2 linked regions of the Sus scrofa genome follow. Each later gene encodes a partner of the first gene's protein in a complex. Links are inferred from orthologs where the notes say so. Each region holds a gene or a part of one and is shown on either strand. Other genes may lie near its edges. The genes, in order: MYO3B and ESPN.

Region 1 (4,396 bases):
ATTTCACAAAGAAGGACAAAGTCAATATCCATCAAGCATGACTGCCCCTAATGTCCAAGACCCGTACATTAGAGGGCAAAATGAACAGTCCAGACAGATAAAAGTTTCCTAGTAAAATTACTGAATGTCAAGGTAAAGAGAGAATTTTTCAGGTACAGAGGAGACACAGACACACACACATACACACACTCCAAAACACAGTGAAAAGCAAAAAAACAGAACATAAAGCTCAGGCTTCTCTCCACACCAAAGCTCAATACAGGAAAATTTGTAATCTATGTGTACAAAGGTCTGCGGGAGATAAAAGTATGAACAGATATTTTTATACTTAACCCAAGTGTTAGCCAATAAAAATAATAATAAACCAAACTTGGGGGGAGGGGAAAGTTTCTTGACTTTCTAAAGATGATAAATGAAGAAATTGAGAGTTAAATATACTGTTTAAAATTATAAAGTTTAACCAATTGAAATGACAATATTAACAAATTATTTTGTTAATGTGTTCATTTTTTCACTCATCTAAGTCAAATAACCGATAAATTGATAAATAGAAGTAAAAATCACTATACAAAGTTATAAAAGGAATCTCTAAAAGGCCACAAAATAGAGGATAAATCTTTGACATTACATTAAAAAGTACACATGCTCATGTAGACACATAATTATACCACAGGAAGAAAAAACAACCCATGAGGAAAGAGATAAGGGAAGCACTAAAAATCGAAAATGTAACATGAATTAAGAAATATGGCTGCAAAATTTATTATACCAATAAATATAGGATTATTTTGTGAGAATGAACCAAATCTATAGTGATTTGCACTAAAGTAAACTGTTTAAGAGTCTTTTTTATGAATCAGGAAGATTAAAAGTAAAAAGAGGTCAAAGAAAAGCCAGTCAAATGGTAATGACAACAACAACAAAAATAATCATAGTAGTAATATCAGAAAAGAGTAAATTCAAGGCAAAAGTGGCTAAAGAACATAAAATGTTACCAGTACATTCAATAATAAAATTGAGCAATTATATGCATCAAGTACTATTCTATATGCTATATCAAGTACTATTCTATATGTTTAAATCAGTAATGAGTTTCTAAGTTTATAATCTTTATAATCTTTATAAGTGAAAGATTTACAGCTATAAATTATAGTAATCCTTCAGTAATGAAAGCAAATTGTTAAAATTTATAAAAACATAAACTTCTAGAAGACATCAACAACATACAATAATAGTAACAGATATTATCAGTCATGACAGAACAAAGAGACAAAATAAAAAATAGGTATTATACAATCAATATGGTGAATGATCTTCGTGTGTGTGTGTGTGTGTGTGGATATAACTTTTATAGTACTGACAATTTTAATTTTAAAAAGAAAGAGTACATTATTTCACAAGGTAAAGTCTCAATGCATTCTAGGAAAGCGGAATTGGAACTGTATGTTAATAATAAAAACAAGAAAAAGCCCAGATACCCGAAAATTTCAAAGCTCCCTCAGATCTTGACGCAAAGGAAAAAGTTAAAACTAAAATTAGAGTATATAATAAAATAACTATATTAAAGATATTAACCTACCAAAAAACTTAGCAAGCTGGGCTCAAGGCAAAACCTTATAGCATTAAACATTTTACCAAGGCAATTTTAATAAAAATGAATTAAAAAGCATTCTTTTCAAAAAGGTAGGACCTCCCTCATGGCTCACAACATAACTACTCTGTTGGCATTGCTTCTACAGTGCCTGTGGCTAGACCCCTGGCTTGGGAACTTCCATGTGCTGCCAGTATGGGGAAAAAAAAAAAAAGTAGAGATGGATCAACAAAATTAACCTAAGGAAAGTATATGAAAAAAATAAAAGAAGAAATTGATGAGTCAGAGAACAGAAAAATAATAGAATACATAATTAAAGGTATAGTTCTCTGGGGAAAAATAAAACCTAATAATAAAACAGTTTAGTCAAGAAAAGGAGATTGTTTCTACTAAAAAACAAGATACAACCTCATGGTTCATCGTTATAGAGATATTATGTAACAAAACACAATAATTACATAAAATGAAATACCATCTAGCCCCATATAACCACTTAAAGAAGGTAAGTTTTGTTTCAACTAATATGGAAATAATGACAAAATATACAATTCCAGGTTATTTTTAAAGTATTGAAAAACAAACAAATTTTGTGTAAATGAAAATAAAATTTACACTCATAGCCATTTTATGAATATGTTTATGTGTAGGTATCTCTCTATAGAATTGTGTATCTTTTTATATTTTCCAGGCTACAAAACTCAACCTTTAGCGAGAGGTACCAGGAATCAAAGAGGTTGAAAAAGAGAGAAATTAATATAATTTTTAAAAACTTTATACCTGTCTATACTAGTCATATTTTTGCTGAGACATGTATTATTTATTTTTTAAAACAAATAAGGCATCTCTAAAGAGGAGACAGTTTTGGCCCAGATGCACGCTGGAGTCATGGAAAAGCAGAAACCGCATGAAAGTGTAGAACACATCTTGGGAAGAAAAGCAAAGCAGAGAAGGAAAAAACCAAAGAGAACTGGTGAGTGAGTTCACTACGGAATTCTCAATCCAGGCCCCCTGAGGCCTGCTAAACGTTGCTGTTTGTCCTTGAGTATCCATGAAATTTCCTACTGCATTCCTCTAAGAAGCACCCCCAACCCCATTCTCATGAGTCCCTCATAGGCTGGTTTTAGTTGCTAACAACCCCAAGGGAGTCTGGCCCTGTACCCTTGCTGAACATCCTGTGTGATTCCATAGTGGAGCCGAAGCCTTACCTTGCTGAAATAATAAAGCAATCTGAAACATGCACCCTGCAAACTCCTGTGGTCAGTCATGCCTAGCAAGTACATTTAAATAGAAACTTGTCAAGCAACATTTTACACTTATGAGAAAATTCATGTGGATTTCCATTTCTGAGAATGTTACTCAGACTACTGTGTCTATATGTTACAGGACGTTCTACACGAATCACAAATCATAGAACTGTGCTTTCCGAGCTAGAGGTTAGCTTTTAAAAAGAAATCAGAGCAGTAAACAGTGAAAGGTCAGAGCAAATTAGTACAAATATTAAATATGAACACCCAGAAACACACACAATTAAAAAACACACACCGTATAAACTTGAACAAATTAGAGAATAATTCGAAACTAATACAGAAGCAAGTGCATGATATCACGGCAAAGACTGGTAAGAAAGAGACTAGGTCCATCTGTAGGAACTGGCTTCTTCACAACCTGTCTGCACAGGGTTAGATAGAACCCACTCAAATATAGCTCGGATGTCATCTCTTCTAGGCGGCCTTTCCTAATCTTACTAGAGGGGCCCTTCCTTAATAGCCTCTCTGTCCCGAATAGTCTCTCTGTCCCATGTGCTTGTTTCTAGCAGTTGTCACATTGACCGGCATTTCCTGTTGACATGTCGGTCTTCTCCACCAGCAAGCCCCAAGAGAACAGAGGCCACATCTTAATAATTTTCTGTCTCATCAGCAAATCCTCATTGTATAAGTGCTCAGTAAATGTTTAATATGGGATTAAAAATCAGAACTATAAAACCAATGAGGTTTTCTTACAGTTAAAAAATAAGTGTTGTTTCATAGAACACCAAGAAAACACAGAGAAATAAAACAAGAATATTACAACCCTCATAAAGTCCCATATCCAAACATAACCAGTCTTATTTAGTATTACTGCAGATACAAACACACACACACACACACACTCATACAGAGATGTATGACTATGTTTGTTTTTTTCACAAGGCAGAGGATTTGGTTTCCAGCCAAATCTCCCTACTGAATTTCGATTTCAAAGCTTCCTATCAATCATGAAAGTCAAGGCACTTAATCCTCATTCTCACCCTCCAGGGCATCAGCCACTGCTCACGGCCTTTACCTTTTTAAAACACTACCCCCCCCCTTTGTTTTCTTCACATCTTACTTCCTTGGTTCCTATTCTGCCTCTCCACCTGCTGCATCAGCTTCCATTCTCCGATTAATGTGACTGTTGAAACTGAAGTCCTCCCTCAGTCCTCCACTTGTCTTCCAAATGACGCATCTACACCCCAGGCTCTCACATCCTAGCAAGCGGCACCATCTTTTCAGCCCTATTTCCCGTCTGAGCCCCAGCCCAGGGTTACTAACTGCTTGCCACGCATTTCCCCTTAGTTGCCTCCTCTGATCCTCAAACATATGTAAAACTAAACTGACTGTCTTTGGCGCCTCAAAGCTACTACTCAACTCCCAATGTCCACCAGGGGCCCCATCATTTTTCTGGTAGCCCAAGCCACTGCCTCCCTCTCACATTAGTCACTAAGCCATGTCCATTCTTTGTTCTTGTCTGTCCCTCCTTTCCATCCCCACTGCTGCCACCTCTACG
Region 2 (4,448 bases), on another chromosome or scaffold:
AAAACAAGCCATTTTAGCTCTTTCTCCTCAAAGCACCCCCGCCCCCGCCACTCACAGGCCTCAGGGAGACTCCTCCCTCTCTTGGTCCAAAAACCACTGGGCGAGGGTCCCAGACCCCAGCATCCTCAAGTCCCATGGGGGAGTGAGGCAGGTGGGGGTCGGTGGAAGTTGTTGGAAACCTACCTGATCACTCAGCTCCAGAGATCCCAGTTTACAAAGGTGCCATGGAGCACAGGCGGCCATTGCATGTGGCGCCACCTGGTGGCATCCTCAGGGAATTGTATTCAGCCACAGCCCCCGAATTCCACCCTAAGACTCCCACTGTTCCTGGAAACAGCTTCACTCCACAGCATTTCCAGCACCATCCTGTGCCGGGGGGCTGGGGGGGGGGGAAGCACAGGATGTTTCGAGGTTGCCGGATGTGCAACTGTGCTAACAGTGTTTCCTCCTGTCCAGCGCTGTGCCTCCCTCCAGCTCCCACGAAGGGCTTCCGGCCAAGCAGGCAGGGTGGTTTGGTGCACGTGTGCTCTCCCGGCCCGCCGCTCTCCCAAGGCCTTCCTGTAACTTGGGGAGGGGTCCTGACTCTGCTCTCTGGGTGGCTGCCCTGGTGCATCTCCCCATGACCCCCAGTCCTTGCATGCCTGATTTCCATCTCTCACCCTGGAGCTCAGGATGACGCCTCCCACCCCAGAGCCCAGGGTCTCTAGATCTGGAAACCAGGGCGCAGCAGGCATTTCCCCCTCTCCCCTTTCGCCCCTCTGTCCCTCCTTTGGGAGGCTCTGAGGGCAGTTCTTGGGGTCTGGAGGGAACCAGGAGGGCCGAGGGCCCAGCACCCGTCCCACGTGCCGGGCCATGGACCCAGAGCCCCTCAGGGACTCGTTAGTCCTGTTTCTGGCGCCCCCGTTGCCCTGGAAGTCTCCCCTGTCTGGAATGCGTCTTCGTCGAAGCCTCTGAATAAAGCCCAGCCCACCGCACCTCCTCAGGTGGCCCTGCTGCCCACGCAGCCCCTACGACTCTCTTATCTTCCCGCTTTCCTCTTCTGATCTCACTCTGATCCCTCCCTGGAATTTCGGTCATTGATGCTGGCTCGTGTCCCCAGCGCCTGGAGCTGGCCCTGGGTTGATGAATGAATTCGTCGGGAGGCTCTGCCCGACAGCGCCCGGAGGGCTCTTGAATTCGAACCCAGTCTGGCCACCCTCCGTGGTCTCCTTGTGGACGGGAGGGAAGTTAGGAGAGAAGTCCCTGGGCGCACGGCCTCTGCGGCCGCGGCGGAGGCGGGAGAGGGACTCGGGCGACGCGGGGCGGGGCGGGGGCGGGGCGGGGGGCGGGCCCGAGGCTTAAGCGGGTCGCCGCTGGGGCCCCGGGCCCAGAGCGCGGCGGAGGCGGAGCGGAGCGGGCGAGGCAGCGCGGGGCAGAGACCGGGCCGGCAGCCGCTCCGCCTCCCGACCGGCAGACCCCCGACGGCCGCGCCGCGGGCTCTCCCGGGGCCCGAGGGCAGGGGCATGGCGCCCCGGGGAACGCGCTGAGCGCGGGTCGCGGCGCCGCGGGCGGCACCATGGCCCTGGAGCAGGCGCTGCAGGCGGCGCGGCAGGGCGACCTGGACGTGCTGCGGTCCCTGCACGCCGCCCGCCTGCTGGGGCCCTCGCTGCGCGACCCGCTGGACGCGCTGCCGGTGCACCACGCGGCCCGCGCCGGCAAACTGCACTGCCTGCGTTTCCTGGTGGAAGAGGCGGCCCTGCCCGCCGCGGCCCGCGCGCGCAACGGCGCCACGCCGGCCCACGACGCCGCCGCCACCGGCCACCTCGCCTGCCTGCAGTGGCTGCTCTCACAGGGCGGCTGCGGAGTGCAGGTGAGTCCGGCCACTTCCTGGGCGCCCGGGAGGCCCCCTCCGCCCCAGCAGGGAGTTCTGGCCAGGGGCCCGCGGGGCTCAGGGATGAGTGGGCCGGGAACCTCCCGCTGAGCCTCCCTCGGACTCCCACCAGAGGACCTGGGCAGGGTGGGCTCCCCAGGTTGAGAACCGGGCAGCTGCTCTGGCAAGCCTGGCCGCCGCCTAGAAGAGCACCTGGGTGATAGGAAACCAGAATAGAATGGGGCTCAGCTGGGATAGTATTTAAGCTGGGGCTGGGGAACACACGGAGCCAGGCAGCCCTGGAGAGTGGGAGGGGTACCAGGGCCTTGGGCAGCAGAATCCGAAGCCCCCGTCCTCCAGGATCAGGTCTGGAAAGGGGAGGGGCACAAACCCTTGGCTCATCCCAGGCTCAGTTGCACGTTTCCTCATGGCCAGCAGTGGGGGTGGAGTCGGGGCTTGGGAAGAGGGGTGCCTCCCAGGACCTGAGCTGACTCAGGACCTCAGCAGCTTTCCGCCTCCCAGCTCCTTCAGCCCAGCCTCAGTCTTTCCACCCCGAGACCCCACCTGGTCTCACTCAGTGCCCCCCTCCCTGCAGCTGGGATCAGCCAGTCTGCCTCTCCTGAGCTGGAGAAGGAGGCAGCTCAGGCCCTGATAGGTAGCTCTCCTGCTCAATCCTGCTGCAAAGAGAGCATCCAGCAGGTCCTTGGCCCTGGGGATTCAGGTGTGCTCCTCTCTTGCCGCTGCCAGTCCATCAGGGCAACAGACAGCAAAACCTCGGGCTGGAAAGTAAACCAGGTACCTTCAGGCACTGTTTGCCCCCGGGAACTGCCTGGACAAGGTGGCCAGGGAGGGCATCCGCGAGGAATGACCTTCAACGAGAGTCTTGGCTGATGGGAAAGAAGTGACCAGGGGACAGTCAGAGAGTTCCACACACGTGGAGCAAGAAGGACAAAGCCTTGAGGGGACACAGTCTTGTCCCGTGGCAGGGATGGCAGGGGAGCGAGCATCTTTGGAGCCAGGAGGGAGGGAGAAGCCAGCAGGGCCAGGTCCTCGAGGGTCCTGTAGGCTGGTCAGGAATCTGCGCGATGCTCTGGTTGCAGGGGAAAAGCCAGTGAAGGGAGGAACCAGAGCTGATTTTCCACCGAGCAAGACCACCGTTAACTGGATATGGATGGAGAGGAGGCAGGGGCCGGGTGGCTGTACCAGAAGGGTGGCCAGGTCCATCCCCCACCTTTGGTCTCAGGCAAAGCCCCCCATCCCACCCTTCCTGGGAGACGGCCCTTATCTCCTGGCAAGCTCTGTTATCAGGAGTTCCTGGCACGTGGTCCATGCCCACTCTTCTGGGAGGCAGTGTGCCTCCCAGATCCCAGTGTCGATCCTTGGCTGGAAGCCCTCCCAGCCCCTGTAGAGGAGGAGAAGGAGCAGGTGGCCCTGTGCCCAGCTTATCAGGTCTCCCGCCCTCTAGCCTTGGGGCCTGGGTGCTGGGGGCGGAAGTGTGTGTGTCGGGGAGGATGACCTGGATCTGGGGCCCTGCTCAGCCCAGAGAGATAAGCAGCTTTAAGGTGTGGGCTACAGCACGTGAGGCTCCGGGGGGACCCACGTAGCTGTTGGAGCCCTGGGGACAGGCCATAGGCCTGTGGTCCTTTCCTTACTGCCACCCTCGCCCAGAAGCCCAGAGCCATCAGGACCCCCTGGAGCCTCAGACCCAGTCCCCGAGGCCAGAGGGAATCGAGGGCCTTTCTCAGGAGCTGGTCCAGTCTGGGTCACCTCTAGCCAGCCTTGTCCCCTGCGCTCAAGAGGACAGACTGAACCAATCCTCTTCCCTGAGCGTGGCACACACAGAGGCCTCTCAGCGGTGTCCTCGGCTTCCTATGGGCTGTTTGCTCTCCCTCCCCTGCCTCCCTGCCTCGGGTCTGGCCCATTTGTTTGCCCCTCACCCCAGAGCCCCACCATGGCTTCCCTGTCGAGCCCCCAGGCCCATTTCCTCTGTTCCCTCTTTTCTTTCTGCATTCTTTGTTTTGAGGGGGGCGCCCATGGCATGCGGAATTTCTCAGGCCAAGTGTCGGACCCGGGCCATAGCAGTGACAATGCCAGATTCTCCACCCCCTGCGCCACCAGGGAACTCTACCTTTTACACTTCTTGGAGGAGCCTCGGATGTTCTGCTGCTGAGATTCATCTTCCTTAAGCTGGAGATGCCTGGCCCACACCTGTTCCCACGGGGCCAAGGGGCTTCCTAGTAAACCCGCTGCCTCTCACTGCTGCCCTGCCCCCCTGCCCAGCTCCCCGCCCACCTCTCCGTCATCCCATGCCCTCAGTGCTGGGAGCTCATTCTGTTCTAGGACCAGTGCCCACACTCCCAAACTCCCCACCTCAGAGTCCAGACCTCTGGGCTCTCGGTGACTGTCCTCTGGCCTGCAGGTCACATAAGCAGCATCCATGCCAGACCCTTTCTAGAAGAGACACACACACCTGGGTGCCTGGATGGCCCCTTCAGCAGTTCAGGGCCCAAACCATCGGCCCGCCCCCTCTGGGCAGCCTGGGAGAGGGGTCTTTTGCCCAAGCTGCCTCTAGCCCATACCTACCTCCGCTGGCAAACTG

The links.
Region 2: the proteins of MYO3B (region 1) and ESPN are in contact, whole or in part, in a crystal structure (PDB 5ET1), measured with the Mus musculus proteins. The link is inferred for Sus scrofa from reciprocal best matches to the Homo sapiens genes MYO3B and ESPN. Residues at the interface, in XP_017174528.1 of Mus musculus: Arg1223, Arg1224, Gln1226, Gln1227, Pro1228, Lys1229, Met1230, Leu1231, Ser1232, Ser1233, Asp1236, Thr1237, Met1238, Tyr1239, Tyr1240, Asn1241, Gln1242, Leu1243; in NP_997570.1 of Mus musculus: Leu35, Ala37, His41, Arg45, Ala67, Asn69, Ala71, His75, Asp76, Ala79, Thr80, Asp101, Ser103, Leu110, Arg113, Phe114, Thr135, Thr137, Ala139, His143, Tyr144, Ala147, Thr169, Asn171, Tyr177, Leu178, Gln181, Ala203, Asp205, Met207.

What each region holds. Positions count from the first base shown.
Region 1 is NC_010457.5:76,440,638-76,445,033, reverse strand, and holds the start of MYO3B (myosin-IIIb), read right to left. Parts: upstream 2,877-4,396; 5' UTR 2,797-2,876; intron 1-2,796.
Region 2 is NC_010448.4:67,282,723-67,287,170, forward strand, and holds the start of ESPN (espin), read left to right. Parts: upstream 1-1,383; 5' UTR 1,384-1,555; coding exon 1,556-1,849; intron 1,850-4,448. UniProt on the Homo sapiens protein: Multifunctional actin-bundling protein. Plays a major role in regulating the organization, dimension, dynamics and signaling capacities of the actin filament-rich microvilli in the mechanosensory and chemosensory cells.